Linked DNA regions of Xenopus tropicalis. The main gene of each other region encodes a partner of the protein of the gene in region 2 in a complex. Links are inferred from orthologs where the notes say so. Each region holds a gene or a part of one and is shown on either strand. Other genes may lie near its edges. The genes, in order: eif3g, eif3j and eif3f.

Region 1 (10,417 bases), about 19 Mb from region 2:
CAGGAGGAACATATTGCTCCCCAACCCCTTGGGTGTTGCTCCCAGTGGCCTCAAAGTAGGTGATTATTTTTAAATTCTTGGCTTGGGGGCAGGTTTTGGTTGAATAAAAACTCAGTATAATGCCAAACAGAGCCCCCTGTTGGCTGCCAGTACACATAGAGGCTATTAAATAGCCACTTACTGCTCTTATTAGCACCATCAGGAACCATTTTCATGCTTGCGTTGTTCCCCAACACCTTTTCCCATTTGAATGTGGCTCACAGGTATAAAAGGTTGGGGATCCCTGCTCTATACCCTCTATGTATATACAGGGGCTTATTTATTATAGAGTGTCAGCCAACATCACCGGCGATGTTGCCCATAGCAACCAAACAGCAATTAGATCGGAACGGTCAAGTTAGAAAACAAAAGCAAAGATTACACACTAATAATATACTGTAATAAATATGCCCCACAGTCTGTAGTGGCTTTTAGAAGCTGTGCAGATCATTATATGTAACTGGCACATACAGGTCCTTAACTGCACAAGTGCTGTCGCCAATAGCAACCAAAGTTTATAAATGAGCCCCACTGGCTGCTCCTGACTAGTGATGAACAAATCTGTCCCGTTTCACGTTATAATTTGCAAAGCTGCTAAAAAACGTTGCAAAAAATGTTAATTCTTTGTAAATGTAAATTCTCTATGACCTCCTTTTTTATTTGGACCCACCTCCAATATGGTCACAACAAGTCAAAGAGGAGGAGCAAAGCTATGGCTCCTCCTCACTTCCATTCGGCCAACCAACAGAAACTTTCCATCATAGCCTATATTCCTCCATCCAGCTGGCTTGCAGGGTGATTGGTCTGCAGGGACCCCCGACTGGCTGTATAGGCCCAGATGGTCAGGCAGAATAGTTGAAAGCGGCCAACTCTGGGCATTCATGGGCAGCTTTACAGGTCTGTCTCACTTTATAGCTTCCAACAAGCAGCACTGCTCAGCTTTTATTTGCACAGCAATGCGGAACATGCTGGAACTTGTACATAAGAACAGTGAAAACAGATGTGTCTGTAAGGGGCAAAATTCCCCCCCTCCTTCCCCTTATGCCTTTAGTCCTGGGGTCCCCAACCTTGTTTTACCCGTGAACCTCACCATATGTATAGGGAGATGGGGAGCAACAGATTTACCTGTGGGTACCATGTAAGGGCTGTGATTGGCTGGGACTGGGAGCCCCTATATGGGCTGGCAGCCTATAGGAGACTCTGTTTGGCAGTAGCCCTGGTTTTTATTCAACCAAAACTTGCCTCCAAGCCAGGAATTCACAAATAATCACCTGCTTTGAGGCCACTGGGAGCAACATCGGGAGGAACATGTTTCTCCTGAGCCACTGGATGGGGATCACTGCTTTAGGCTTTAATAATACACAATGGACCCTCTCTTAATCCAGAACCCCATCCTGCACCAACAGATGCCATGAAACTTTAAATAACCTAAATATAGACAATAAGGAATGCATATGATACCAGCATAAAATAAACAGAAAGGGAACAAAAATTCTTAACAAACCTTGGACTCCACTATGCACAAGAAAATTAAAGGAAAAATAAAGAATAATGCTAGAAATGCTCTATTTTATGTACTGAGCTTACCGTACCAGCCTAAGGTTCAGCAGCTCTAGAACAGTAATGATCCTAATCTCGTATCTAAAAGCTCAGCCGTTTTAGGGAAGCTGCTCAGGGGCTCTGGGCTACTGTTGGGAAGCTAAGCTTAGGGGTCGTCAGAAATCATAAAAACATTAGAAGCTGATGCTGGTGCAGAATGCACTGGTTCCTAGCTATCATGGTGTGAATCTGGAATAATCATTCCTTTTAGTTTCTATATATACAGTATAGTGTGCGTGGGCCCCTAAGCTCAGGTAATATTGTGCCATTTATATTCTGTATATACAGTATAGTGTGAGCGGGCCCCTAAGCTCAGGTAATATTGTGCCATTTATATTCTGTATATACAGTATAGTGTGAGTGGGCCCCTAAGCTCAGGTTATACTGTGCCATTTATATTCTGTATATACAGTATAGTGTGAGCGGGTCCCTAAGCTCAGGTTATATTGTGCCATTTATATTCTGTATATACAGTATAGTGTGAGTGGGCCCCTAAGCTCAGGTTATATTGTGCCATTTATATCCTGTATATACAGTATAGTGTGAGTGGGCCCCTAAGCTCAGGTTATATTGTGCCATTTATATTCTGTATATACAGTATAGTGTGAGTGGGCCCCTAAGCTCAGGTTATATTGTGCCATTTATATTCTGTATATACAGTATAGTGTGAGCGGGCCCCTAAGCTCAGGTTATATTGTGCCATTTATATTCTGTATATACAGTATAGTGTGAGCGGGTCCCTAAGCTCAGGTTATATTGTGCCATTTATATTCTGTATATACAGTATAGTGTGAGCGGGTCCCTAAGCTCAGGTTATATTGTGCCATTTATATTCTGTATATACAGTATAGTGTGAGCGGGTCCCTAAGCTCAGGTTATATTGTGCCATTTATATTCTGTATATACAGTATAGTGTGAGCGGGCCCCTAAGCTCAGGTTATATTGTGCCATTTATATTCTGTATATACAGTATAGTGTGAGCGGGTCCCTAAGCTCAGGTTATATTGTGCCATTTATATTCTGTATATACAGTATAGTGTGAGCGGGTCCCTAAGCTCAGGTTATATTGTGCCATTTATATTCTGTATATACAGTATAGTGTGAGCGGGCCCCTAAGCTCAGGTAAGTGACAGCAGAACAGAGTATGTGCAGGGAATCAGTGTCCATTTTGTTATTTAGTCAAAGCTTTGTCTCACCCCAAAGTTCTCCTTTAATGTTTCTATTGTATAAAATAAAATACACAAATGAATAAAGAAAGCAGAACAGATTCCAGGAGTAAAAATAGACCAGACTCAATCGCCTTTTCAGTTCTTTTATTTGCTCTGCAATCTAACACAAGACTATAAAATCATCTTTCTCTGCCGCACAGGAAGCTGCTTCCCATCAGTTGGTCGAGGGCCTGAAAAAGAGAAAAAGCAAAATAAATCAGCTCAGAGCGACAGCAAACAAGAAGTTCCTATAGAGTAGGGACAGTTCCTCATAGTCTAGTCTGGCAGACGGCTGGTAGAATTTGGGGAATATGCGCACAGACGACCCCATGGACTTCCCATGATGCTTTTCTGCCATATCAGTCCTTGCCCACGGAGCAGAATGAACTTATTTCAGGTAGCAAAGAACTCACAATAAGGCTCCTCAGCCTCATACAATAAACAGGAGCATATGGGAAAATGTTATAACAGCCAGGCTCAGATTTACTTCAGGTCTTGAAACCCATAGCAACCAATTAGGTATTTGCTTTCAAGGTAGCTCCTATGGGTTACAAGAACTGGAGCAAACAGTCCAGCTATGAGAGTGGAGTGGAGGCAGTCAGCGTATACATACTTGGCCCATTCCACATTGAGAATAAGATGATCATAGCCAAAGCCCGAGACTCCTGCGATGGCGCGAGCTGCATCCTCTCGGCGGTGGAAACTGATGAAGGCAAAACCCTGAGGGGGAAAAAATCACAAAGAAATGAAGGATTAGTGGGGAGGGGTGTCCCTTTAGCTCCAAGCACAGCCTAATAAACCCCTAGGTGCCCAGCCTCCAGATCTCAAGCATTCCCTGGCAATGGCCGACACATGCTCCACCAACCAAAATAATTACCCCACAAATAAATCAAAAACTTCTGCTAGAACTCAGACTAGAAACAAAGGATGAGGAAGGCTCAGTAGCAATACAAACCTAGGCTACAAATAGTTCTCTTGGTTCAACAGATAAGTAACAGCCACTGTCGTTTGGTGGCTTTTTTTTTAATCACAATGTTCCCCTTTTCAGACAACCGAGAATATACATCTGCGTCTGAATCAGCAGATAAACACTCACGGAAAAACAAAGTCCTCTGCTTAAAAACAGGATGTACGCACAGGTAGAGACAGATGAAACCCTTAAAGGAGAACTAAACCCTAAAAATGAATATGGCAAGAAATGCCAGATTTTATATGCTAGAGTATGGGCAGGGAATCAGCAGAAAAGAGGTTGGGGGCTACTGGGGGCACAGATCTTCCCTGCTAAAGGGCTGGGGTTGCCTTAGGCTGGTACAGAAGCTCAAAACATAATGTACAACATTTCTAGCCTATTCCTTTAGTTAAGCTTTATTTCTCCTTTACATAGTTATGGCTCCCTAACTCTCCCACCTTTATGCATGACATTATTTTAATAATAAATACATGGTTAAAAAAGACAGCTGTCCCATAAGATCATATTTAATGGTGTCTGTGTTAGTGCTGGGCGGTATGACCAAAAATTTATATCACAGTATTTTTCAAAATTTTATCGGTATCACGGTATTTGACGGTATTTTTTTTTTCCCCATGCATGATTAGGTGACCACCCCAAACACCCCCCCCCCCCACCCCAAACACCCAACCCCTTCACATAAATATAAATGACTTGCCAGGCAGCCGCAGGCACCCCCGACAGCTCACATTGGTATGCGTCCTAGCGACGGCGCTTTTGTAGAGCCTCCTGGCAATTTTTCTTACTATTTCCGGGTTGCGCGCGTGACGTCAGCGCGCACAACCCGGAAATAGTAAGAAAAATTGCCAGGAGGCGCGCACACCGGTATGCCGGTAAGTTAAAAATGTATATAGTTTTTTAAAAAAAAAAACGGTGTTCGGTTTATACCGGTATACCGCCCAGCACTAGTCTGTGTTCATTTTAAAGCCCAGCAGGCACAGGGCATCTAACACCGACTGGCCAGCCACAGAGTAACAAGGATGAGCCAATCAGAACACTCAGCAACAGTTTGTACCTTTGACTGCCCGGTGGTCTTGTCTTTGGCCAAGTAGATTCGAGAAATCGATCCGAATGGTCTAAAGAGCTCCTGGAGATCAGTCTCCCGTGTGTCTTCGGATAAGTTTGTGACGCGGATTGTGGCATTGTCGTCGGCTGCAGAGAAAAGGTGGGAGATCATAAAATTCAGAGACAGTACAAACTATGGGGTGATACATCAGAGTGACACACTTGCAGCATTTTTCAATAGCAACTTTGTCCCAACACCCCCGGCTCCTTCATTAGTGGCCCCAGGTGATATTATTACCAATAGCAGGTTATAAGTGGACAAAGCCAATGTTGTGTCTATAACAACCTGCCTAGTGCCAGCAGTGCCTTGCTTTGTCCTACAAACTGGCTTTATATACAAGATATGCTGAAATGGGATTTTTTTTTTTTTTTTTTTTTTTACAAGAGTGCCATCTGTATGTTAGAGTTATAACTGCATGTAAGTACATCAGGTACTTTCCCTGCCATCAGCCAGGTAGCAATGGGCTTTCATGGGCAATAAGTAGCTAACATACCCCCTAGTGTGTTTACAGTTTACAGGATCATTTTACTGGGTAAACAATGTGTTACTGGCCCAGTATGCACAAGAATTCACAAAACTATGAACAAGAATGAACTGCCACTGTCCATGCTGCTGCAGTAGGGAATAAAGACCCTTATGGTTGTGTATATTGGGTAATAAAACAAATGAAGCGCAGTCACAGCATGCACTGACTATGGGCTATGTATTCACCACCACGTGATCATCATACCTCTGCGATTAGGCTGCATAGACTCCCCTCTCCTGCTTCCTCCGTCTCTCAGGCTGGGGGGAACATATTTTCCAGTCTTGCTAACAGGTGCCTGGGCTGGCTCCGGCTCTAGAATGACAACAAATTGGATACAGGTTAAACATACTGTATAAAGGCAATGGGCTGTCCAGCCTATCAAATAATGCAATAGAGTTCTATTAAGGCTAGGTCATGGTGGCAAATCTCATTGAATTTTGAAGGGTTTTCTTCACAGTTGTGAATAGTAATAATCAACACATGCATAGCACAAATGTGGCACACAAACACACACAGTACGGTACTGCCACAGGATATACAGAGTACACTTAGGGGCTGGATGCAAACTGGGCAGCTAAGTTGGCTCTTACCTGCCCCTGGTGCCTTCTCCTTGTCTCCTGTGGACAATCCCAGCTGCTCAGCCAGTTCTTTCTGCATGGGACCCAGTGTGTCCTTGTAGGGGCACCTTGTGGTCCAATGGTCACCCTTACAGATTCGACAAGATACAATCTTTTGGCCCTTCAGTTTATTCATTGGATCCTCTTCTTCTTGGTTATTCAGATCCTGCAGTGAGAAAAGATCCAGACTGTTACAGCTGTTTACTAGAAGAAGGTGTGTTAACCTCTTTTAGGGGGCAAAGAGGGTACAGAATGCAAATATTCCATACACTTTTTATATTGCAATTGTGTATGTGTATATACTGAGTACTGATGGTGCAGTTTGCACACCTGAAGGTTTGTATTGCAATAGTGCCCATGGAATCCATGTTTGGAACAAAGGGGAAGTAGGAACAAAAAAAATAAATTCACATAAGATGAACCAGATATCCATATTAAGGAATGATCAATACTGACCTCTTTGCTGGTGATAAATGTCATCAGGACATCGTCGCTGACTGTGGTGGTGGCCACATTTGGACCAGGAGGATCATATTCTGAATTGCCAAATTTTTTCCAATTCTGGAAAGTAAAACACAAAAGGAAGATGATGATCTCTTCAACATTATTATATTCTAAGTTATCTATTTAGGTCCCATTGCTTCCCAAGAGAACACAAACAACAGTATATGGCTTATCCCATATCCCAACAGCTGGCATGTTCCAATTTAACCCTTTCTCTACAGACACCCCTGTCCTCTCACCTTCCTATGAGCAACAACTTTGGATGCTTTGAGTGTTTCTATTTTAAAAGTGCGAACAATCTGCAAAGAAATAGAAAGGTTTATTAATAAAGAGCAATACGGTGTTACTGTACATGTGTGCACAGGCAATTCAACTAGAGAGAAACTGTAGATTTCAAAAACAATGCTAGGCTCCTCCCCTACAGCAATGCGCTTTGTTCTAAGCTAGAAAAAGTGAGTTTAGAAATATAAGTAAAACTTTACAGATACGCAACTTAGAATTTAGTGGCTTTTATAATTAAAGTATGTAAACCTTCTAAGCACTTCTGCAATTTACATTCTCTTTTTTTTTACATTTCAAAGCAGTTAGGCTGCAGTTGGAATAACTGACCTGCAGGTGGCGCTGTTAGATAATGAATTTTGTTAGTTGATAAACAGCTTAATAACGTTGAAATATAGCAATATAATCTATACAATAAATTGTGTATTCTATATAAATATACACACATATACACACACACTCATCACTGGCCCATGAACAACTCTGCTAAATAACCTTTTCAAAAGGTCAAACTATAACAATTTTCATTTTTATGTTCCACATTTATGTAACTATGCTTTCCCACTCAAGTACAGTACAGCAAGACATAAAATAGCCCCCCAGGCACCTAATCAAATGGCAGCAGCCATAGCATCTTGTAAGAAATACTAACTTGATTGTCTGACTAAGGTTCCTTGCACATTACAGACCCCCACCCGCCTTATCTGAGTTGTACATACAGTCACAGGGTGTCACTAGCTGCTTGCAGAGCTCTGGAGGCAGCCGGCCTGAGGATGTACTGGAGGCCCGCCATACACTAAGCAACCCTTTACCGTATCCAGCCAATCAGTATGCAGGCTGAGTGAATGGATATGGTACAACTGGCACACAATATATAAATGGTAGGGAGTAAAGAGGCATTGCTCTTTTTTACCCCCCTCATCTGCCAATCCAACATGTGCCCAGTCACATGGTGCATTAGCAGATAATATATGTAACTGTACACAGGACCCCTGAACCTGCCCCATACGAGTCCATATGGCTAGGAAATCAGCAGTGCTGCCTTACCCAATCTGTTCACATATGGGCTGCTTTACTACAGGGCTGGCACTAGGGGTAGGCAGAAAAGGCACCTTCCTCAGGGGCTGAAACTGATTGAATGGTGATTTACAGCAGTGCTGCCCTACTTCTTTGGTACTGAGGGACGTAATTTTTCTAGCCTAAGCGTCGGTAATGGAATCCAGCATTGACTATAACCCATTTAACCACGTCCTTGAAGCCACAACTATGTTAACACTTCTTAGTCTACAGTTGCATTAACAGAAACCACAAGAGAGAAGGCTGTGACACGATACAAGCTGCGTTCCTCTCCAAACTGCTCTGTCCCTGGGCTGTTTATGGCACAGATTACGGCTGCTTTGGGCTGATATTTCCTACCTAATGCCTTAGCTATTGGTTTGCCATTTCCACTCAGCCAATTCTGCACAAGTAACAGCCTCCATGGATTCTCCTGCTTATCTATAACAACACATTTGACCTTCTGTCTTCTTCCTGACCCCACTGCCTAAATTAACGGAGGTTATAGCATTCCCAGACAACCTCCCATTTTTCATTTTGAAATGAAATAAATGAAAAGTACAACCTGAAAAAGGTAGCAAAGAGTTAAAGCTCTGTGCTGCAGAAAAACCCAACCAGACTAGGATCTACCAGGTATACTCCAGTACTAAAGCAGGCCCCACTGACCATGATCAGTTCCTTCCCCCAACAAACAAATCTAATTGCCACACAACTGGGTACTGGTGGATATTAATATAAAGCTAAGAAAACCCACCAGTACCTGCACTGATACTGCCTTCTCCTGCTCTCCCTTTTTGTCTGCCCTATTTGTTATCTTCCTACTTTCTCTCCCAATGTACAGTGGAGGAAATAATTATTTGACCCCTCACTGATTTTGTAAGTGAAAAGTCTCAGAACAGTATCATTTCAATGGTAGGTTTATTTTAACAGTGGCAGATAGCACATCAAAAGGAAAATCGAAAAAATAACTTTAAATAAAAGATAGCAACTGATTTGCATTTCATTGAGTGAAATAAGTTTTTGAACCCCTACCAACCATTAAGAGTTCTGGCTCCCACAGAGTGGTTAGACACTTCTACTCAATTAGTCAACCTCATTAAGGACACCTGTCTTAACTAGTCACCTGTATAAAAGACACCTGTCCACAGAATCAATCAATCAAGCAGACTCCAAACTCTCCAACATGGGAAAGACCAAAGAGCTGTCCAAGGATGTCAGAGACAAAATTGTAGACCTGCACAAGGCTGGAATGGGCTACAAAACCATTCGCAAGAAGCTGGGAGAGAAGGTGACAACTGTTGGTGCGATTGTTCGAAAATGGAAGGAGCACAAAATGACCATCAATCGACCTCGCTCTGGGGCTCCACGCAAGATCTCACCTCGTGGGGTGTCAATGATTCTGAGAAAGGTGAAAAAGCACCCTAGAACTACATGGGAGGAGCTAGTTAATGACCTCAAATTAGCAGGGACCACAGTCACCAAGAAAACCATTGGAAACACATTACACCGCAATGGATTAAAATCCTGCAGGGCTCGCAAGGTCCCCCTGCTCAAGAAGGCACATGTGCAGGCCCGTCTGAAGTTTGCCAATGAACACCTGAATGATTCTGTGAGTGACTGGGAGAAGGCGCTGTGGTCTGATGAGACCAAAATAGAGCTCTTTGGCATTAACTCAACTTGCTGTGTTTGGAGGAAGAAAAATGCTGCCTATGACCCCCAAAACACCGTCCCCACCGTCAAGCATGGGGGTGGAAACATTTTGCTTTGGGGGTGTTTTTCTGCTAAGGGCACAGGACAACTTATTCGCATTAACGGGAAAATGGACGGAGCCATGTATCGTGAAATCCTGAACGACAACCTCCTTTCCTCTGCCAGGAAACTGAAAATGGGTCGTGGATGGGTGTTCCAGCACGACAATGACCCAAAACATACAGCAAAGGCAACAAAGGAGTGGCTCAAGAAGAAGCACATTAAGGTCATGGAGTGGCCTAGTCAGTCTCCGGACCTTAATCCAATAGAAAACCTATGGAGGGAGCTCAAGCTCAGAGTTGCACAGAGACAGCCTCGAAACCTTAGGGATTTAGAGATGATCTGCAAAGAGGAGTGGGACCAACATTCCTCCTAAAATGTGCGCAAACTTGGTCATCAATTACAAGAAACGTTTGACCTCTGTGCTTGCAAACAAGGGTTTTTCCACTAAGTATTAAGTCTTTTTTTGTTAGAGGGTTCAAAAACTTATTTCACTCAATGAAATGCAAATCAGTTGCTATCTTTTATTTAAAGTTATTTTTTCGATTTTCCTTTTGATGTGCTATCTGCCACTGTTAAAATAAACCTACCGTTGAAATGATACTGTTCTGAGACTTTTCATTTCTTTGTCAATGGACAAACTTACAAAATCAGTGAGGGGTCAAATAATTATTTCCTCCACTGTATATCTACCTCTCTCTTCTCTACTCTCCTTTTTCTTTGCAGCTTTATTACCCATTCACCCTACGTTTCTGCAATCTCATT
Region 2 (10,517 bases):
CATTTAATTGCATGGGTTAAAAAATAATGGGACTGACTCAAAAATCTGTAAATGTAATATAGAAGCTTTGCCATCCGACACGCCAGAAGGGAAAACTGCAAGCTGCGTCTTCATCCACTACATTTTAAACCATTAGGACAGCGTTTTTCAACCGCTCCTCTGGGACACCTTCCACTTCCTGGCTCCCTGATGCCCGGAAATCGTCACTGCCTGTGACGTCATCCGGCATCGGATCCTGCCCTGGCACAACCCGACCGGGGGGAGCAACTGCCCAGGCCCTGCCCCGACAGACCAGATCCACCAGGGGCCAGGCCCATGCACAGCCGTCCTACTCCCCACCGGAAGACAATCCCGGGACACCCCTGGATGCCGCACCCCAAGACAGCCTGACATGTAAGAAAACAATAATAATATATATATATATATAATATAAAATTTTTGTGTGTATAAAAAAAAAAAAAAAAAAAAAAAACAGTGGGGGGGTGGGTTTGTGGAGAAAATTTTTCACTATTTTGTTTACTTAATATTTCATAATAAAGTAATTATAAAATACTTTCTTTGTGTTTATTTGATTCCTATTCAAGAGAATTACTTTATATATAGTCAATATAGGCACAGAGTTACATTTTTTAACATTTTCTAATGGTGGTGTGCCTCGTGATTTTTTTCATGAAACAAGTGTGCCTTTGCCCAAGAAAGGTTGAAAAACACTGCATTAGGACATATATTTATGTGTGTGTCTTGAGAAAGGTCCAAGATGGGGACCGAAACATAGGCCTGTTTTCTTTTTAAAGGAACAGTAACACCAAAAAATAAAAGAACTTGTAATGTAATAAAAATATAATGCACTGTTGCCCTGCACTGGTAAAATGTGTGTGTTTGCTACAGTAACACTACTATAATTTATATAATAAGCTGCTGTGTAGCCACGGGGGCAGCCATTCAAGCTGGAAAAAAGGAGAAAAGGCACAGGTTACATAGCAGATAACAGATAAGTTCTGTAGAATACAATAGTGTTTTAGCTATTATCTGCTATGTGCCTGTGCCTTTTCTCCTTTGAATGGCTGCCCCCATGGCTACACAGCAGCTTATTTATATAAATGATAGTAGACTTTCTGAAGTAAACACACAACTTTTACCAGTGCAGGGCAGCAGCACATTATATTTTAGTTACTTTTATACACTTTCATTTTTTGGTGTTACTGTTCCTTTAATGATGCTAATTAAAAGTTAAGTTTTTTCTTACTAAAAATACCTGGTGTGCATCTATATTTTTGATTTTGTGTATTGCTGAGCTTGGATAGTGTGCTTGAACTTTCAGACATTATTATATATAGTTTGACACATAAATAAAACCGACAAGTTTGTCCATGTGTATGTGTATAATGTGCTTAATGCTTCTGTGGCACTTCCCTGTCTGTGCCCTCCTAAAATTATAATTTGACAAAAATAAACACCATACACAGTCTCTAGAGCCAAAGAAACTTGAGCATCATCAGCATATCAGTCTCCTTATCAGAAAGCACTGTCTGCACAGACAATAGTGTGGCCTGTAGAGGCCAACTGCATAAGATAAGCCACTGCCAAATCTCAATGCACATCTGGGCAAGGCAGAACGGGGCAAAGGCTGCAGTGGGACTAAACAAGTTTAACTAAAGAATTAAAAATAAGGAGAGGCGGGAAAAAAATACAACATTTTAGGGATGTTGTACAAGGGTGAAAATTTGACCCAGATGACTTGCTTGTAAAACCCTCTTATAAGCAACACCTACATCTGTCCACAGAATCCATACTGGGGCACAATTACTAGCAGTACCATAGTAATTAGTATCCCAAGGCAATTTGACACCAATTAACTTTCAGCAGCCTACTAAAGATAGGTCTGCTTTAATTATGCTGATTGGTTGCTATGGGTTACTGCACTGGGGCAAATGTGTTAAGTGTAAGTAAATGAGCCCCACTTTATGCTATTAGCCAGCTAGGATGGAATTAATGGTGTCCCTGTGGGTTTTTTTTAATCCACACTAGAAAAAAAAACATTTTTGCAAAGTGACCAAAAAAATAGTCCTTACTTTATAATCCTCTTTATCTCTTTTCAAAGCTCTTCAGAAACTTAGATAACCCCCCCCTCCCATGACAGGGCGTGGACTGAAATAACTGGAGCACTGACAGGCAACTATTGCCACACACAGGCAGAACAGAAACACTAACAAACACCATAAGGTGGCTTCTAAACCTTGCAAAAATGTAATCACAGAAGTTATTGCCCGTACAAGGCAAATTCATTCATTCCTTCATTGTTTTCATGTTGCTCAGAACATGGGCTAAATCAGAGGTTGGCAAACTCTCAGTTAAAGGAACAGTCTGAAAATAAAGCTTGGTAAATACATAGGCTGTGCAAGATAAATGTTTCTATAACATAGTTAGCCAAAATGTAATCTATAAAGGCTAGAGTGGGTGGATGTCTTAATAGCCAGAACACTACTTTCCCCTTACACGGGCAATACTTTAGACCGATTCGGCAGCTTATCCGCCCATGTATGGGGCCTACCAGATCAATATCTGGCCGACAATTGGACTTAGGGGGCCAAATGATCAAATTAGCCCAATATCACCAACCTTAGGTATATTGGGCATATTGGGAGAAGATTCGCTTGTTTGGCATATGGCCAGCTTTGGTTTGTCAGTAACTTGAGGTGGGGGCCCACATGGGACAATACTGTTCAGTTAAGGTGGCCACACACGTGGCGACCATCGGTCGCATGAAACATCGTCAGATCCGCCACACACCGTCAGGGCTGAAACAGGAGATAAGGAGGTAGAAACAATAGGATTTCTACCTCCTTCTGCCAATTCAGCCCTGACTGCAGATTTTGGTCAGGTGCCTTCTATGGCGCCAGATCAAAACCTTTTAACCGGTCCGATCGGCGAGTCGACCGTTATCAGCAGCTTCCTGCGATATTGGTCGACTCGCCGACATGCCATACACGCACCGAATATCGCACGAAACGAGGTTTCGTACGATAGTATCGGTGCGTGTATGGCCAGCTTTAGTTTGCTTTTGATCCTGAGCACACAGGTCAGATACAAAAGCAAACAGTAATGTCTCATATTCACCACAAATCTTATTCTAACGGTGCAGCAACCTGTGATTTTAGTGTATCTAAGAGCAAATGGCCATTCTCCCCTCAACATAACTGCCCTTCAGGCTGATCTCCCCCCTTGCCACTACTTACAGTCCACCCTCAGAGAAGACAACCCGACAGTTTGGAAAACACAGGTTTAACCAAACAAACTTCTGATGCAGAGTTCTACAGTGATTTTAACCTAATTGCCTAAAAGCAGTTCCGGGAGCTTAGTTGCCAACTCTCTAAACTATTAAAATTTGATTTATTAGTTTGCTGCTATTTTTCAGGAGTAGCTTCAGCACTGAGTACGCTCTCCAACTTGACATTTTCTTATTCAGTCAATGATACAAAGTGATATACAGTCATACACCATGGTCTGTAAGTCAAAAGCTGCTGCTAGAGCAGAGTTGTAACCTATGGGTAGAGAACATGATATCTCCATGATAACGCTTAATAAGGCGGCTGCCATATTTAATAAGCTTGCTTAGAACAAACATTAACATATGTCAAATACAGACTTTATTCTTATTCAATACAATTTAATACAAATAAACACTGATGTGGCAAAATTCTGTCATACAATATGCACATAATAAGCCTCCTTTTTAGAAAGTGGTAAAATCTACTAAGCATACATGTACATCACCAACACAACCAAGCAAATGCAACCTAATGACATAATGAATGTTAATTACAGTACCTTAACATCCTCCTCCTCGTCCTCTCCCTCCCAACGATCTCTTCCTGCCGGTGGTGGGCCTGACACAGCACCCTTCTGATTTGAAACTTCTGGCTCAAAATCATCAGCATCTGTACATGGAGAGAAAAAAAATCAGGGACCAAAAATAAGAGACTAAGTCAAAACATTGCTGTGCCAGTATTAATCAAAGGCTCAGCTTTTAGCATTAAAATGGAAATTAACCACTTTTCCAAAATGGGTGTAATGGGCTGAACATTCTTTTTGCCTACTGTTTTAATCACAAAAAACTTTCCAAGCTAAACTCCATGTTTGGCCCCAGTGAAGTATATACAGTACTCAGATTCCCAGCACACAGATAATCCATGTGCACAATGAACAACTTTTTATCTGTGCACTGATAATTGCACTCGCAAGGACTAAAAATGGAGATGCATCAAATTCCCTGTTTGGCTCAAGAAAAAACAAAAACCTTAGACTTGTGCTTAATAGGCAAAAAGTATGTTAAGCACAAGCCCTATTCATTGCGCTCATGTTGTACAAAGGGGTATATACTGCACCTTTATGCAGAGGACAAAGGAAGAGGGTGTTTATAAAAGATAGACAAGAACAGACTAACTGCTGGCAACTTACCTCAGTGGCAAATTACTTAACTTCCATATGTAATATAAAGAATAAAGCTCACCCAGGTAAATTAACCCACAGAAACTAATACAATGTTTGCTTTTAAACAATAGGCCAGTAAATGCTACCTCTACTGGTTGGCTGGTTTTTGGTGATTAGACCTAAAAAACTTTGCTCCTTTTCATAACACACCCCATACAATCACATGGTATCTGGCAACAAAAACTTAAAAAGAGGGTCATAAAAAAAACATTGTCAGTTCAGAAGAAGCAGTATCCATGAACTAAACCCAAGGTCAGAATGTGAACCTGTAGCTGCTGCAAATGAATCTTGGCACCCCATCATGAGTGCTTTATGCGGCCCGAAACTAAGTACATAGTATTAATAATATTTGGATGGCATTGAGGCCACATCCTATCAGTAGGAGTGCGAAATATAATTACATCACAAGTACAGTTTAGCTTACTAGCACAAAATATGGTCAGAGTTATGAAGAATATCAGTATTTAACAGAAAGGTAATGGCTAGGCAAGGAGGTAAAATATAAAGAGGCCTCTATATTAAAAAAATATGCTAAATCAGGGTTAAAAGATACCTAAGCATGAATGCAACCCAACAAGCCCCAAAGATGAAAGGCGTCAAGTGAGGACAGGAATTTGGAAAACTACTATGTAGTAAAAAAAAAGAGAAAGAATAAGTCAAAGTGTGTAATATAATATCCATATTGTACTGGGCACCCTTACAGGGCAAAATGTGTTTCTTCTTGTAAGCAAGATAATGAGCAATATTGCGGCACAGAGAGCCCGGGGAGCCAGCTGCACTCAGTCACATTACTCACTGGCGGAGGGGACGGGGACACGACTGGGAGGGGACGGGGACACGACTGGGAGGGGACGGGGACACGACTGGGAGGGGACGGGGACACGACTGGGAGGGGACGGGGACACGACTGGGAGGGGACGGGGACACGACTGGGAGGGGACGGGGACACGACTGGGAGGGGACGGGGACACGACTGGGAGGGGGTGGCTATTAGGGAGAGGAGATAGAGGTAATGGAAGGAAAGTGAGTTGGATAAAACAGATGTAATGGAATGAAACAACTGGAGGCCAACTAGAGGCAAGGCACACAGGCCCAGCATAAGCAATGGGAATACAAAAGCCCCTGACTGAAAGGTTATTGCTTCAAAGAAAGTCTAATTGCCACTGAAGAGGCACAAATGACATGGCAATGTAAGATATATGGGGGGGGGGGGGGGTTATTTCTCTTCTCAACACACATCCAGCAGCCAATGGTGAAGCCCCTACACAGGGCCCAGTTAGGGGAGAGCCAATGCCTTACCCATTTGGGGCCTACCCTTAGTGAAGGTAGTGAGTGAGGGCCTAGCAGCCCAGCTGGCACACTGCCACTGAATAGGTGAGACAGAGCTGCACTTATATGAGCAACACCCATAGGGAACACGGGATAATGGAGCGCTTTGTGGCCTGTTCTGGTAGCGCTGCCTGTAGCAGCTGGAGACTCACCGAGCAGCCCAAGCTCCAGCCTGCGGGCAGCCCTGCCTCACCCCATATCATTGGCCTTCTGGCTGCCCACTACCGAGCCTATATGAGGCATAGGAGCAAAGGGCACATGTGCTGCCTTGTCCCTGGGTAACTCGGCTGTACTAAGCCTGCTGGGGAGCCAGTGGAGAAGGCCGGCGGGACAGAGGCAGCTGGGAGCCATGCTGAGAATAAGCAGCAGTACGGTTCGGCAGCCGAGATCCGGCAAATAGGGGAAAGGTTAGGCAGGGGCCGCGGAGGGACACACACTGACACAGGGGCCGCGGAGGGACACACACTGACACAGGGCCCGCGGAGGGACACACACTGACACAGGGCCCGCTCACACGAGGGCTGGCTGAGTGCGCTCCCCCACAGAATAGAGAAAGTACAGAAGAAGAGAGATACATATAAACACATAAAGCCAGGGCACCGCCACTAAAACTGGGCACTCAAGGAGAAAAAGAAGCGGCCTTGTGCCAGACAGAGCTTGAGCCCGTAACGCCGCTCCACATGCAGTTCAGTCTCACCCCAGCTGTCGTTCTCCGCCATTTTTCCCGCTGCCGCTCCGGCTCTGACTGACTCACCGCGTCTGAATGCGCACGCAGTGCAGCGAGTTCGGCTTAGACTTTCACCGGAAATGCGTCACAACTCCCTGCCTCCCTGCGCCATCTTGGTCCTCCCAGCGGGACCGACCTGATTCTAAAAACGAGGAATAAAAGAATTCCAGACTTTTCTCTTTCTCCTGGTTCTTTGCGCCGCAGAGCAGGAGACACGTGAGCAGGCGCCATTTTGGCTGTGGAACTCATTTCTGCAGAACACGTGACACCCATGCGTCTCTCTATTGGCTGCTGTACTAACTGCACTTACACGGTTGGATCGCTCCTTCGGTTTTGCTCAAGGCCGCTACGAGCTGGATCGGTCCAATGTCGTGCCTCTCCCATGTTGGGACATGAACGCATGGCAAGGCATTGGAACAGCATGTTTAGGGGTTTTGCACTCGGACTGCTGAGAAGGACCGGGATTTTTTTTTATTTTTGGACTATAAGTGCTACTGGGTTTCTTAGATTTTCTGCAGTCTAAAGGTTATAGTATAGAAGAGCCATGAATATTCTGTAAAATATATTCTTTTAAACAGGGATTATTGATGTTGGCAGCTACATTCTGTGTCTTGTGATGTAACCTCAAGTGATTCTACTAAAGCTGTGTATTGTAATAAATTGGGTAGCATCTGATGAAACTATGATATTAGATGTAATTTTGGAGTTCCATGACCATACACACAGGCAGCCTAGGGCAGGCAGAGTATGGCACACACAGGCAGCATAGGGCAGGCAGAGTATGGCCCACACAGGCAGCATAGGGCAGGCAGAGTATGGCACACACAGGCAGCATAGGGCAGGCAGAGTATGGCACACACAGGCAGCCTAGGGCAGGCAGAGTATGGCACACACAGGCAGCCTAGGGCAGGCAGAGTATGGCACACACAGGCAGCCTAGGGCAGGCAGAGTATGGCACACACAGGCAGCCTAGGGCAGGCAGAGTATGGCACACACAGGCAGCATAGGGCAGGCAGAGTATGGCACACACAGGCAGCATAGGGCAGGCAGAGTATGGCACACACAGGCAGCCTAGGGCAGGCAGAGTATGGCACACACAGGCAGCCTAGGGCAGGCAGAGTATGGCACACACAGGCAGCCTAGGGCAGGCAGAGTATGGCACACACAGGCAGCATAGGGCAGGCAGAGTATGGCACACACAGGCAGCCTAGGGCAGGCAGAGTATGGCACACACAGGCAGCCTAGGGCAGGCAGAGTATGGCACACACAGGCAGCCTAGGGCAGGCAGAGTATGGCACACACAGGCAGCCTAGGGCAGGCAGAGTATGGCACACACAGGCAGCATAGGGCAGGGAGGGTATGGCACACACAGGCAGCATAGGGCAGGCAGAGTATGGCACACACAGGCAGCATAGGGCAGGCAGAGTATGGCACACACAGGCAGCATAGGGCAGGCAGAGTATGGCACACACAGGCAGCCTAGGGCAGGCAGAGTATGGCACACACAGGCAGCATAGGGCAGGCAGAGTATGGCACACACAGGCAGCATAGGGCAGGCAGAGTATGGCACACACAGGCAGCCTAGGGCAGGCAGAGTATGGCACACACAGGCAGCCTAGGGCAGGCAGAGTATGGCACACACAGGCAGCATAGGGCAGGCAGAGTATGGCACACACAGGCAGCCTAGGGCAGGCAGAGTATGGCACACACAGGCAGCCTAGGGCAGGCAGAGTATGGCACACACAGGCAGCATAGGGCAGGCAGAGTATGGCACACACAGGCAGCATAGGGCAGGCAGAGTATGGCACACACAGGCAGCCTAGGGCAGGCAGAGTATGGCACACACAGGCAGCCTAGGGCAGGCAGAGTATGGCACACACAGGCAGCCTAGGGCAGGCAGAGTATGGCACACACAGGCAGCCTAGGGCAGGCAGAGTATGGCACACACAGGCAGCATAGGGCAGGGAGGGTATGGCACACACAGGCAGCATAGGGCAGGCAGAGTATGGCACACACAGGCAGCATAGGGCAGGCAGAGTATGGCACACACAGGCAGCATAGGGCAGGCAGAGTATGGCACACACAGGCAGCCTAGGGCAGGCAGAGTATGGCACACACAAGCAGCTTAGGGCAGGCAGAGTATGGCACACACAGGCAGCCTAGGGCAGGCAGAGTATGGCACACACAGGCAGCCTAGGGCAGGCAGAGTATGGCACACACAGGCAGCCTAGGGCAGGCAGAGTATGGCACACACAGGCAGCGTAGGGCAGGCAGAGTATGGCACACACAGGCAGGGTAGGGCAGGCAGAGTATGGCACACACAGGCAGCATAGGGCAGACAGAGTATGGCACACACAGGCAGCATAGGGCAGGCAGAGTATGGCACACACAGGCAGCATAGGGCAGGCAGAGTATGGCACACACAGGCAGCATAGGGCAGACAGAGTATGGCACACACAGGCAGCATAGGGCAGGCAGAGTATGGCACACACAGGCAGCATAGGGCAGGCAGAGTATGGCACACACAGGCAGCATAGGGCAGGCAGAGTATGGCACACACAGGCAGCCTAGGGCAGGCAGAGTATGGCACACACAGGCAGCCTAGGGCAGGCAGAGTATGGCACACACAGGCAGCCTAGGGCAGGCAGAGTATGGCACACACAGGCAGCGTAGGGCAGGCAGAGTATGGCACACACAGGCAGGGTAGGGCAGGCAGAGTATGGCACACACAGGCAGCATAGGGCAGACAGAGTATGGCACACACAGGCAGCATAGGGCAGGCAGAGTATGGCACACACAGGCAGCATAGGGCAGGCAGAGTATGGCACACACAGGCAGCATAGGGCAGACAGAGTATGGCACACACAGGCAGCATAGGGCAGGCAGAGTATGGCACACACAGGCAGCATAGGGCAGGCAGAGTATGGCACACACAGGCAGCATAGGACAGGCAGCATAGGGCAGACAGAGTATGGCACACACAGGCAGCCTAGGGCAGGCAGAGTATGGCACACACAGGCAGCCTAGGGCAGGCAGAGTATGGCACACACAGGCAGCCTAGGGCAGGCAGAGTATGGCACACACAGGCAGCCTAGGGCAGGCAGAGTATGGCACACACAGGCAGCCTAGGGCAGGCAGAGTATGGCACACACAGGCAGCATAGGGCAGGCAGAGTATAGCACACAGGCATTATAAGGTAGGCAGAATATTACACACACAGGCAGTATACAGGTGCAAACAATACAGGGGTTTACAGCCTGAATTTGAAGTGTGAATAATGCACGGGGGGCAGTTTATCTCAGTACTGATACCATAAATCTTACAGAAAGGTAAGCAGTCACAGCAGCCAGACATGTGGGGGGCACACAAGGCTGAACGTAGACAGCCCTGAGCTAAAATATAATGGTGGTGAACCCTCCCCGTGTGTCATAGCCCTAAAGCATAAGCTTAACACTGTGTCTCACCCATTATGGTGAGTTTTATGGAGGAACCAGCTAGTCATATATTTGTATGTTTTTGACAAACCCCTTGCATATAGTGTTGTAAGGTCAATGTAGAAATCATCTTCACTTCCAATCTATAACATCACAAGGGATCTAAAAGCCAAATCAGTTGTCACACCCACATTAAGTGCAGCAGGTATGTAAGGTAACACCAGCGGTATAGTGCACAAGTTTCAGAACTGAATGTTATTATGAACTCAGAGCTTAGCAAATCAAAACTAAGGGGCAGATTTATCAACATACTGATTTTAGTGGTTTTAGAGTTTTTTTTTTTGAAACTACGAATAAACTTATTTCCACAAAAACCACAAATGTCTAGTCATTTGTTAAAAGATCCAAATAAAAAAAGCACAGACAAATGAACATGAAAACAACAAATCTTTCATGGTTTTCACATTTTTCCTGGAATCTTCCTAAACTTATGAGTGGAAAAAAAACGAAATAAATCACAAAAAACTGAATAAATC
Region 3 (10,517 bases), on a different chromosome or scaffold from region 2:
CTCTTAATAGCCCCCCTATCTGTATACTCTCATATCTCTCTCTTAATAGCCCCCCCTATCCGTATACTCTCATCTCTCTCTTAATAGCCCCCCTATCTGTATACTCTCATATCTCTCTCTTAATAGCCCCCCTATCCGTATACTCTCATATCTCTCTCTTAATAGCCCCCCTATCCGTATACTCTCATATCTCTCTCTTAATAGCCCCCCTATCCGTATACTCTCATATCTCTCTCTTAATAGCCCCCCTATCCATATACTGATATATCTCTCTCTTAATAGCCCCCCCTATCTGTATACTCTCATATCTCTCTCAATAGCCCCCCTATCTGTATACTCTCATATCTCTCTCTTAATAGCCCCCCTATCCGTATACTCTCATCTCTCTCTTAATAGCCCCCCTATCCGTATACTCTCATATCTCTCTCTTAATAGCCCCCCCTATCCGTATACTCTCATCTCTCTCTTAATAGCCCCCTATCCGTATACTCTCATATCTCTCTCTTAATAGCCCCCCTATCCGTATACTCTCATATCTCTCTCTTAATAGCCCCCCATCCGTATACTCTCATATCTCTCTCTTAATAGCCCCCCCTATCCGTATACTCTCATCTCTCTCTTAATAGCCCCCCTATCCGTATACTCTCATATCTCTCTCTTAATAGCCCCCCTATCCGTATACTCTCATATCTCTCTCTTAATAGCCCCCCTATCCGTATACTCTCATATCTCTCTCTTAATAGCCCCCCCTATCCGTATACTCTCATCTCTCTCTTAATAGCCCCCCTATCTGTATACTCTCATATCTCTCTCTTAATAGCCCCCCCTATCCGTATACTCTCATCTCTCTCTTAATAGCCCCCCTATCCGTATACTCTCATATCTCTCTCTTAATAGCCCCCCTATCCGTATACTCTCATATCTCTCTCTTAATAGCCCCCCTATCCGTATACTCTCATATCTCTCTCTTAATAGCCCCCCTATCCGTATACTCTCATATATCTCTCTCTTAATAGCCCCCCTATGTGCCCCATCTGTATACTCTCATATATCTCTCTCTTAATAGCCCCCCTATCCGTATACTCTCATATATCTGTCTCTTAATAGCCCCCCTATCCGTATACTCTCATATCTCTCTCTTAATAGCCCCCCTATCCGTATACTCATATATCTCTCTCTTAATAGCCCCCCTATCTGTATACTCTCATATCTCTCTCAATAGCCCCCCTATCTGTATACTCTCATATCTCTCTCTTAATAGCCCCCCCTATCCGTATACTCTCATATCTCTCTTAATAGCCCCCCTATCCGTATACTCTCATATCTCTCTCTCTTAATAGCCCCCCTATGTGCCCCATCTGTATACTCTCATATATCTCTCTCTTAATAGCCCCCCTATCTGTATACTCTCATATATCTCTCTCTTAATAGCCCCCCTATGAGCCCCTATCCGTATAGTGGAGTGCTCTCCCAGCCTTGGCTATATACCTACATACTACATACAGTTTTTGGGGTGTTCCTAACCTTACCGAGTCTGTATTTGATTCACACTGACCTGGGAGGTAACATTATGGGGGCTGGGAGGTACATAATTCCCACAATCATTTGGGCCCCCCCACTGCATGCCCGATGTTGTCTGGCAACATAAAATGCAATGATATCCCTCTGCTGCCATCTAGTGGCTAAACTGTGCAGCACTCAGCTGGGGTCATATACATGCAGCTGGCTGAAAAAGCTAATCACTAATTGGTTGCTATGGGTTACTACCCATGGGCAAGTGTTGATTAGCGAGCCCCAGTGTCTTATTAAGGGAAAACACATGAAAAGAAATGGTACCTATGAGGAAGATGAACCCTGAGGAGGAAGCTGCTTGAATAATCTGCTGCCCAGTTACCCCCAGCGCACATACACATAATGGTTAGAGAAATAAATAGAATGAAGTGGTTTTTCTAATTTATTTATTAATCCACAAAATACACTTTGGTGACTGTGCTGCCAGGGAATGCAATTACCCCCCCTGCTGGACAGATGCTGTAACATAATGAGATATCGGGGGCTCCGTACGGGGAGGGGACAGAATAGATGTTCTTGCTGCAGCCCACCCAGCCCTTTAATCCCCTGTGAATATAATTTAATAGGAACAGTCTCAATCCCCCAGAATGCACCTCTATTGGGCGTCGAATGTGCGTCGGTCGGTCAAGTCCAAGTAAAAACACGGGTCGGAGCCGGTTACAGGTTGAGGAGCTTCTCATTCAGGGCGATCTGGGACTGGGTCAGGTTGGCCAGGTAAGTGACCATCAGAAGATCCTGGGAACGGAACACAAAGAACAATAAGAACCCCAATACCCCAACAGTCTGTATAACGGAGCCTGCAGTGCATTGTGGGTGTCGGGCCCGACCCACTTACATTAATGTTGCTGTTCAACATGGCCTCAAAGTCTTCTGGGTCGATCTTAGGAACCTGGGTGACCAGATCCATCAGGAAGCGCCCGACTGTGTTGTCTGCCGTCACCTTCCCCGACTTCCGAGAGAGAGAGACAGGGGTTAAGGGTGAACGGGGAGTAAGAACCAATCAGAGGGGGTGATGGGAGCTGCACTCACCAGTACATCCTCGGCATACTGCAGTACCGTGCTGAGGGAATCCTGCAGTCTGTTAGCCGCCACCCCCACCTGCTGCAGGTCAGTGGTCAGGCCAATGGAGCGGTTGGGATTGGCGCAGGTCTTGGTGATCAGATCCACTGTGAGGAGACAGACGGGATTATATATACATGCTGTAGGGCATCGCGGGCATGAAAGCTACAAACCCTACAGGCTTGGAACCCCGGCTGCCACTAGAGGCGCCAGAGGGCTCGCAGGTACCAGGCACTCACCTCCTATCCGCTCTGTGTCATAGTAGACATACTGCACGGTGAGAGGGGTGAACATGACGCCCATGGTTTTGCCGGGAACGCCCATCGGGGAGCTGTGGGAAAGAGCAGGAGAGGCATTCAGCCAATGGAACGTCCCATACGCTTGTTGGGAGGGAGGTTGGCGCCCCCGTACCTGATATAGGCCTTTATGTTCATACGGTTCCCCTGCAGGCTGGTATCCACCGTCATGTGAATGGGATTGGTGGCCTCGCGGCTGTAGTACTCATGGATCAGAACAGAGTGCTCGGTGATGTCATTTCCTGTGGCGTACCTGCAACGTATCAGAACACACACGGCTCAGGGGACAGGAAGTGCCACACACACACTGGGCTCGGGGGGAACGGGAAGCGCCACACACACACTGGGCTCGGGGGGAACGGGAAGCGCCACACACACACTGGGCTCGGGGGGAACGGGAAGCGCCACACACACACTGGGCTCGGGGGGAACGGGAAGCGCCACACACACTGGGCTCGGGGGGAACGGGAAGCGCCACACACACTGGGGTAGGGGGGACGGGAAGCGCCACACACACACACACTGGGGCAGGGGGGGACGGGAAGCGCCACACACCACACTGGGGCAGGGGGGGGACGGGAAGCGCCACACACACACACTGCGCTCAGGGGGGGACGGGAAGCGCCACACACACACACACACACACACTGGGCTCAGGGGGGGACGGGAAGCGCCACACACACACACTGGGCTCAGGGGGAACGGGAAGCGCCCCACACACACACTGGGCTCAGGGGGGACGGGAAGCGCCCCACACACACACTGGGCTCAGGGGGGACGGGAAGCGCCACACACACTGGGCTCAGGGGGGACGGGAAGCGCCACACACACTGGGCTCAGGGGGGACGGGAAGCGCCACACACACTGGGCTCAGGGGGGACGGGAGGCGCCACACACACTGGGCTCAGGGGGGACGGGAGGCGCCACACACACTGGGGCAGGGGGGGACGGGAGGCGCCACACACACTGGGGCAGGGGGGGACGGGAGGCGCCACACACACTGGGGCAGGGGGGGACGGGAGGCGCCACACACACTGGGGCAGGGGGGACGGGAGGCGCCACACACACTGGGGCAGGGGGGGGACGGGAGGCGCCACACACACTGGGGCAGGGGGGGACGGGAGGCGCCACACACACTGGGGCAGGGGGGGACGGGAGGCGCCACACACACTGGGGCAGGGGGGGACGGGAGGCGCCACACACACTGGGGCAGGGGGGGACGGGAGGCGCCACACACACTGGGGCAGGGGGGGACGGGAGGCGCCACACACACTGGGGCAGGGGGGACGGGAGGCGCCACACACACTGGGGCAGGGGGGGACGGGAGGCGCCACACACACTGGGGCAGGGGGGGGACGGGAGGCGCCACACACACTGGGGCAGGGGGGGATGGGAAGTACCACTTACCAGCCCACAATCTGCTCAGTGGAGGTAACTTTCTTATGCAGCTCGTACATGTTCTTGGCAAACTCCATGTCGACAGCCACCTGGGGTAATTACAGAGGGCATGAAATACTGAGCAGGGCAACACTACACAGGGTAGGAATGGGGTGTGCGGGCCCGACACAACTCTCACCCTACCCTGCCCTCCCCCGAGTATGTATATCTGAGACTCCCCTGGGTGTAATCGGGGGAAGGGAGGGGGGCAGTGGGGATTGGGTCTGGGTTGGTGGGCCCATCAGGCTTTTCCCCCAGTGTCCCGCTGGCCCAGACCAACCCCCACACTACTCAGGCTACAGCAAGTGATTCAGGGGAAACTCCCCCAATACTCCCCAATATACACGTACATTTCCCAAATGTTATTAAATATAGTTTCTATGGATTCCCCGCACTGCTGCTACTGACTGCCAACACATTATAGCCCAAGGCAGCCAATTACCAGCCAGCTACATTGGTTCAGGAGTCAGAGCCCGGACTCGGTAGGAGACACCTACACACCCAATAACGGTCTGAACCCCAAACTGAAGCCATAGGGCCGCTGTATGTGCCCAGTGGGGGGGGGGGCAGCACCCACCTGAATAAACACCCCCACATATTATTATTAATGGTACAAACCTCATCCTCAGACTCATTGTGCGGGACGGAGAAGCAGTTGGTCACCTCCACTGAGTGTTTGTCTGTCGTCCCTGTAATCACACAACAACCAATGGTTACATCTCAGTACTGAATACAGCTCTTGTCACAACGAACCCTTTTTGTCCCACTGCGGCTCCCGTCACTTATACCCCCCCACGGTAACCAGGGCCCCCCCTTACCCAAAAGGGTGCCAATAACCCGCCCGGCTCCTTCGTTTCTCCTCTCATAACTGTCCACGATGGAGGCTAAGACCACCGGATGGACCTTCACTACCGGACCGTGCAGCATGGCTGATCCCGCCGCGGATAGAGAGCCGGCAGCCGCCATCTTAACTAGGGCAGACGCGCAAGAGGGGGGATCATGGGCGGGGCTTCAGTGAGTCACAAAACGCCGCATTCCGATTGGACCACATACAGGAAGTGCTTGCACGTACGCCGGGAACGTCGACGCTAGGCGCGTCGCTTTGTTCCTGATTGGCGCTTACGGAGGGACGCCTTCGAGGCGCAATGCTTTACTGTGATTGGTCATAAAGCAGTCCATCAAAAATAATATTGCTGCGATTGGCTGTACGCCTCCCAATGTTCTTATATACAGGGAGTTCTGGTGTTTAATGTTTATGTGGAGCTGCCCAGGTCTCTATCTATCTCAGTATTAACCATTAGGTGGACGTTTCCAGTTCAGGTTTCTGAAAAACACATTTATATATAAATATTGGTATATATTTAGTATATACCTCTGCCATAGGGGAGGGAAGCTCCTCACAAGCCAAATAAATATAATTGTTTAATCAACTGTGGGTAATTTATTAAAACTTCAATAAAAAATATTGTCTAATTCAAGTTTATTGATCACAAAAATAAAGGGAAACTTGAATTGACCCCCCCCCCCAACCCAAACAAAGCAGCATTTTGGAAAGATACAGAATAATAAGGCTAATAATGTCGAATAAAAAAAGACCAATTGTCAGGCTGCTTCGTACAGGACCTTTTAGAACACACTAAACGATTAGGAATCTGGAGTATCAGAAACAACCAATCAGTGAGTGTCCTGTATCTCTGGGGGGGGTTTAAGGGTTAAGGAACCTTCATCCCTGTTTGGGAAGAGTAGGGAGTTGTGAAATGTTCTATACATAGAGCCAAATACAGAACTAACAGGGTTTATATACAGCCCGACCCACTGAGTGCCTTCTGCTTCTGCCGGCATGGCGGCTCTGATCCTGGTCATTATTGGTAAGAGCCATATTATTCTTATATTCCTTATCTCTTCAGACAGAATGCTCTGTTATACAGATAGCTAGAATCTCAGCCATAAAGCAGGGCAGGACTGCTGCTTACAATGGGGGGATCAGATAGGATCTGTGCCACTGTGACAGAATGCTCTGTTATACAGATAGCTAGAATCTCAGCCATAAAGCAGGGCAGGACTGCTGCTTACAATGGGGGGATCAGATAGGATCTGTGCCACTGTGACAGAATGCTCTGTTATACAGATAGCTAGAATCTCAGCCATAAAGCAGGGCAGGACTGCTGCTTACAATGGGGGGGGATCAGATAGGATCTGTGCCACTGTGACAGAATGCTCTGTTATACAGATAGCTAGAATCTCAGCCATAAAGCAGGGCAGGACTGCTGCTTACAATGGGGGGATCAGATAGGATCTGTGCCACTGTGACAGAATGCTCTGTTATACAGATAGCTAGAATCTCAGCCATAAAGCAGGGCAGGACTGCTGCTTACAATGGGGGGATCAGATAGGATCTGTGCCACTGTGACAGAATGCTCTGTTATACAGATAGCTAGAATCTCAGCCATAAAGCAGGGCAGGACTGCTGCTTACAATGGGGGGATCAGATAGGATCTGTGCCACTGTGACAGAATGCTCTGTTATACAGATAGCTAGAATCTCAGCCATAAAGCAGGGCAGGACTGCTGCTTACAATGGGGGATCAGATAGGATCTGTGCCACTGTGACAGAATGCTCTGTTATACAGATAGCTAGAATCTCAGCCATAAAGCAGGGCAGGACTGCTGCTTACAATGGGGGGGGATCAGATAGGATCTGTGCCACTGTGACAGAATGCTCTGTTATACAGATAGCTAGAATCTCAGCCATAAAGCAGGGCAGGACTGCTGCTTACAATGGGGGGATCAGATAGGATCTGTGCCACTGTGACAGAATGCTCTGTTATACAGATAGCTAGAATCTCAGCCATAAAGCAGGGCAGGACTGCTGCTTACAATGGGGGGATCAGATAGGATCTGTGCCACTGTGACAGAATGCTCTGTTATACAGATAGCTAGAATCTCAGCCATAAAGCAGGGCAGGACTGCTGCTTACAATGGGGGATCAGATAGGATCTGTGCCACTGTGACAGAATGCTCTGTTATACAGATAGCTAGAATCTCAGCCATAAAGCAGGGCAGGACTGCTGCTTACAATGGGGGGGATCAGATAGGATCTGTGCCACTGTGACAGAATGCTCTGTTATACAGATAGCTAGAATCTCAGCCATAAAGCAGGGCAGGACTGCTGCTTACAATGGGGGGGATCAGATAGGATCTGTGCCACTGTGACAGAATGCTCTGTTATACAGATAGCTAGAATCTCAGCCATAAAGCAGGACAGGACTGCTGCTTACAATGGGGGGATCAGATAGGATCTGTGCCACTGTGACAGAATGCTCTGTTATACAGATAGCTAGAATCTCAGCCATAAAGCAGGGCAGGACTGCTGCTTACAATGGGGGGGATCAGATAGGATCTGTGCCACTGTGACAGAATGCTCTGTTATACAGATAGCTAGAATCTCAGCCATAAAGCAGGGCAGGACTGCTGCTTACAATGGGGGGATCAGATAGGATCTGTGCCACTGTGACAGAATGCTCTGTTATACAGATAGCTAGAATCTCAGCCATAAAGCAGGGCAGGACTGCTGCTTACAATGGGGGGATCAGATAGGATCTGTGCCACTGTGACAGAATGCTCTGTTATACAGATAGCTAGAATCTCAGCCATAAAGCAGGGCAGGACTGCTGCTTACAATGGGGGGGATCAGATAGGATCTGTGCCACTGTGACAGAATGCTCTGTTATACAGATAGCTAGAATCTCAGCCATAAAGCAGGGCAGGACTGCTGCTTACAATGGGGGGGATCAGATAGGATCTGTGCCACTGTGACAGAATGCTCTGTTATACAGATAGCTAGAATCTCAGCCATAAAGCAGGGCAGGACTGCTGCTTACAATGGGGGGGATCAGATAGGATCTGTGCCACTGTGACAGAATGCTCTGTTATACAGATAGCTAGAATCTCAGCCATAAAGCAGGGCAGGGCTGCTGCTTACAATGGGGGATCAGATAGGATCTGTGCCACTGTGACAGAATGCTCTGTTATACAGATAGCTAGAATCTCAGCCATAAAGCAGGGCAGGACTGCTGCTTACAATGGGGGGATCAGATAGGATCTGTGCCACTGTGACAGAATGCTCTGTTATACAGATAGCTAGAATCTCAGCCATAAAGCAGGGCAGGACTGCTGCTTACAATGGGGGGGATCAGATAGGATCTGTGCCACTGTGACAGAATGCTCTGTTATACAGATAGCTAGAATCTCAGCCATAAAGCAGGGCAGGGCTGCTGCTTACAATGGGGGATCAGATAGGATCTGTGCCACTGTGACAGAATGCTCTGTTATACAGATAGCTAGAATCTCAGCCATAAAGCAGGGCAGGACTGCTGCTTACAATGGGGGGGATCAGATAGGATCTGTGCCACTGTGACAGAATGCTCTGTTATACAGATAGCTAGAATCTCAGCCATAAAGCAGGGCAGGACTGCTGCTTACAATGGGGGGGATCAGATAGGATCTGTGCCACTGTGACAGAATGCTCTGTTATACAGATAGCTAGAATCTCAGCCATAAAGCAGGGCAGGACTGCTGCTTACAATGGGGGGGATCAGATAGGATCTGTGCCACTGTGACAGAATGCTCTGTTATACAGATAGCTAGAATCTCAGCCATAAAGCAGGGCAGGACTGCTGCTTACAATGGGGGGATCAGATAGGATCTGTGCCACTGTGACAGAATGCTCTGTTATACAGATAGCTAGAATCTCAGCCATAAAGCAGGGCAGGACTGCTGCTTACAATGGGGGGATCAGATAGGATCTGTGCCACTGTGACAGAATGCTCTGTTATACAGATAGCTAGAATCTCAGCCATAAAGCAGGGCAGGACTGCTGCTTACAATGGGGGGGATCAGATAGGATCTGTGCCACTGTGACAGAATGCTCTGTTATACAGATAGCTAGAATCTCAGCCATAAAGCAGGGCAGGACTGCTGCTTACAATGGGGGGGATCAGATAGGGTCTGTGCCACTGTGACAGAATGCTCTGTTATACAGATAGCTAGAATCTCAGCCATAAAGCAGGGCAGGACTGCTGCTTACAATGGGGGGATCAGATAGGATCTGTGCCACTGTGACAGAATGCTCTGTTATACAGATAGCTAGAATCTCAGCCATAAAGCAGGGCAGGACTGCTGCTTACAATGGGGGGGATCAGATAGGATCTGTGCCACTGTGACAGAATGCTCTGTTATACAGATAGCTAGAATCTCAGCCATAAAGCAGGGCAGGACTGCTGCTTACAATGGGGGGATCAGATAGGATCTGTGCCACTGTGACAGAATGCTCTGTTATACAGATAGCTAGAATCTCAGCCATAAAGCAGGGCAGGACTGCTGCTTACAATGGGGGGATCAGATAGGATCTGTGCCACTGTGACAGAATGCTCTGTTATACAGATAGCTAGAATCTCAGCCATAAAGCAGGGCAGGACTGCTGCTTACAATGGGGGGGATCAGATAGGAATTTTTTATTTAGTGAAAACTTAACAATTTATAATAAATACATTCAAATCAAAACAAACCTAAATATTCCGATCATTTCAGACCAGCATCACCACCAGTGAGTTAGGCTTGCCATGCCTCAGCTCTTAAATGAAATTTCCCATCACCACACACCAAACCCTCCCAGAGTCCTTCCTCTGTCCATAATTCCCTCCCAAGAATCAGATACCGGCAAAGTCCTCCCTTTGTCCATGAAAAGATCATTCCCTCCCCACCCTCCACCATCACAACACCCGGCCACAAAGTCTAAAGTTCGGCTAGCTGATAAGCTCCTACTGGTGGTGGTACAGTGTTGGTCACTTCCCCATTGAACATGGTTCCAATGACTGATCTTAAGAGGCAAAAGGAAGACAGGATCAGCTGTTACACTCACTATCGTCAGGCCAATACAGTAACCAGGCTACAGGGTTATGCACCTCCATTTGGATGCGTTTGAGCAGCTCTGTTTTAGCTCCCTTTCCCTCAGGAAACCCAAGTCGACCACCACAGACTTCACTATAAGGTCAATAATAACATCCTCCTGGCTAAAAGATCTCCTACAGCAGGATTGCCATAGGTGGTACCTCATCACTGATATAATCATGTACACCGTTCCTCTATCCAGGGG

The links.
Region 1: eif3j (region 2) and eif3g share a complex: the UniProt entries of both Homo sapiens proteins name them as parts of the eukaryotic translation initiation factor 3 (eIF-3) complex. The link is inferred for Xenopus tropicalis from reciprocal best matches to the Homo sapiens genes EIF3J and EIF3G.
Region 3: eif3j (region 2) and eif3f share a complex: the UniProt entries of both Homo sapiens proteins name them as parts of the eukaryotic translation initiation factor 3 (eIF-3) complex. The link is inferred for Xenopus tropicalis from reciprocal best matches to the Homo sapiens genes EIF3J and EIF3F.

What each region holds. Positions count from the first base shown.
Region 1 is NC_030679.2:137,087,891-137,098,307, forward strand, and holds the end of eif3g (eukaryotic translation initiation factor 3 subunit G), read right to left. Parts: intron 6,868-10,417; coding exon 6,808-6,867; intron 6,626-6,807; coding exon 6,521-6,625; intron 6,231-6,520; coding exon 6,038-6,230; intron 5,760-6,037; coding exon 5,652-5,759; intron 5,008-5,651; coding exon 4,871-5,007; intron 3,567-4,870; coding exon 3,460-3,566; intron 3,038-3,459; coding exon 3,022-3,037; 3' UTR 2,937-3,021; downstream 1-2,936. UniProt on the Homo sapiens protein: RNA-binding component of the eukaryotic translation initiation factor 3 (eIF-3) complex, which is required for several steps in the initiation of protein synthesis.
Region 2 is NC_030679.2:118,210,159-118,220,675, forward strand, and holds the start of eif3j (eukaryotic translation initiation factor 3 subunit J), read right to left. Parts: upstream 6,602-10,517; 5' UTR 6,540-6,601; coding exon 6,518-6,539; intron 3,939-6,517; coding exon 3,829-3,938; intron 1-3,828. UniProt on the Homo sapiens protein: Component of the eukaryotic translation initiation factor 3 (eIF-3) complex, which is required for several steps in the initiation of protein synthesis.
Region 3 is NC_030684.2:141,315,129-141,325,645, reverse strand, and holds eif3f (eukaryotic translation initiation factor 3 subunit F), read right to left. Parts: upstream 5,341-10,517; 5' UTR 5,331-5,340; coding exon 5,183-5,330; intron 5,054-5,182; coding exon 4,983-5,053; intron 4,415-4,982; coding exon 4,335-4,414; intron 3,181-4,334; coding exon 3,043-3,180; intron 2,963-3,042; coding exon 2,871-2,962; intron 2,739-2,870; coding exon 2,602-2,738; intron 2,522-2,601; coding exon 2,408-2,521; intron 2,308-2,407; coding exon 2,230-2,307; 3' UTR 1,942-2,229; downstream 1-1,941. Other genes in the region: fcrlb (Fc receptor-like B), read left to right, coding at 6,205-6,232. UniProt on the Homo sapiens protein: Component of the eukaryotic translation initiation factor 3 (eIF-3) complex, which is required for several steps in the initiation of protein synthesis.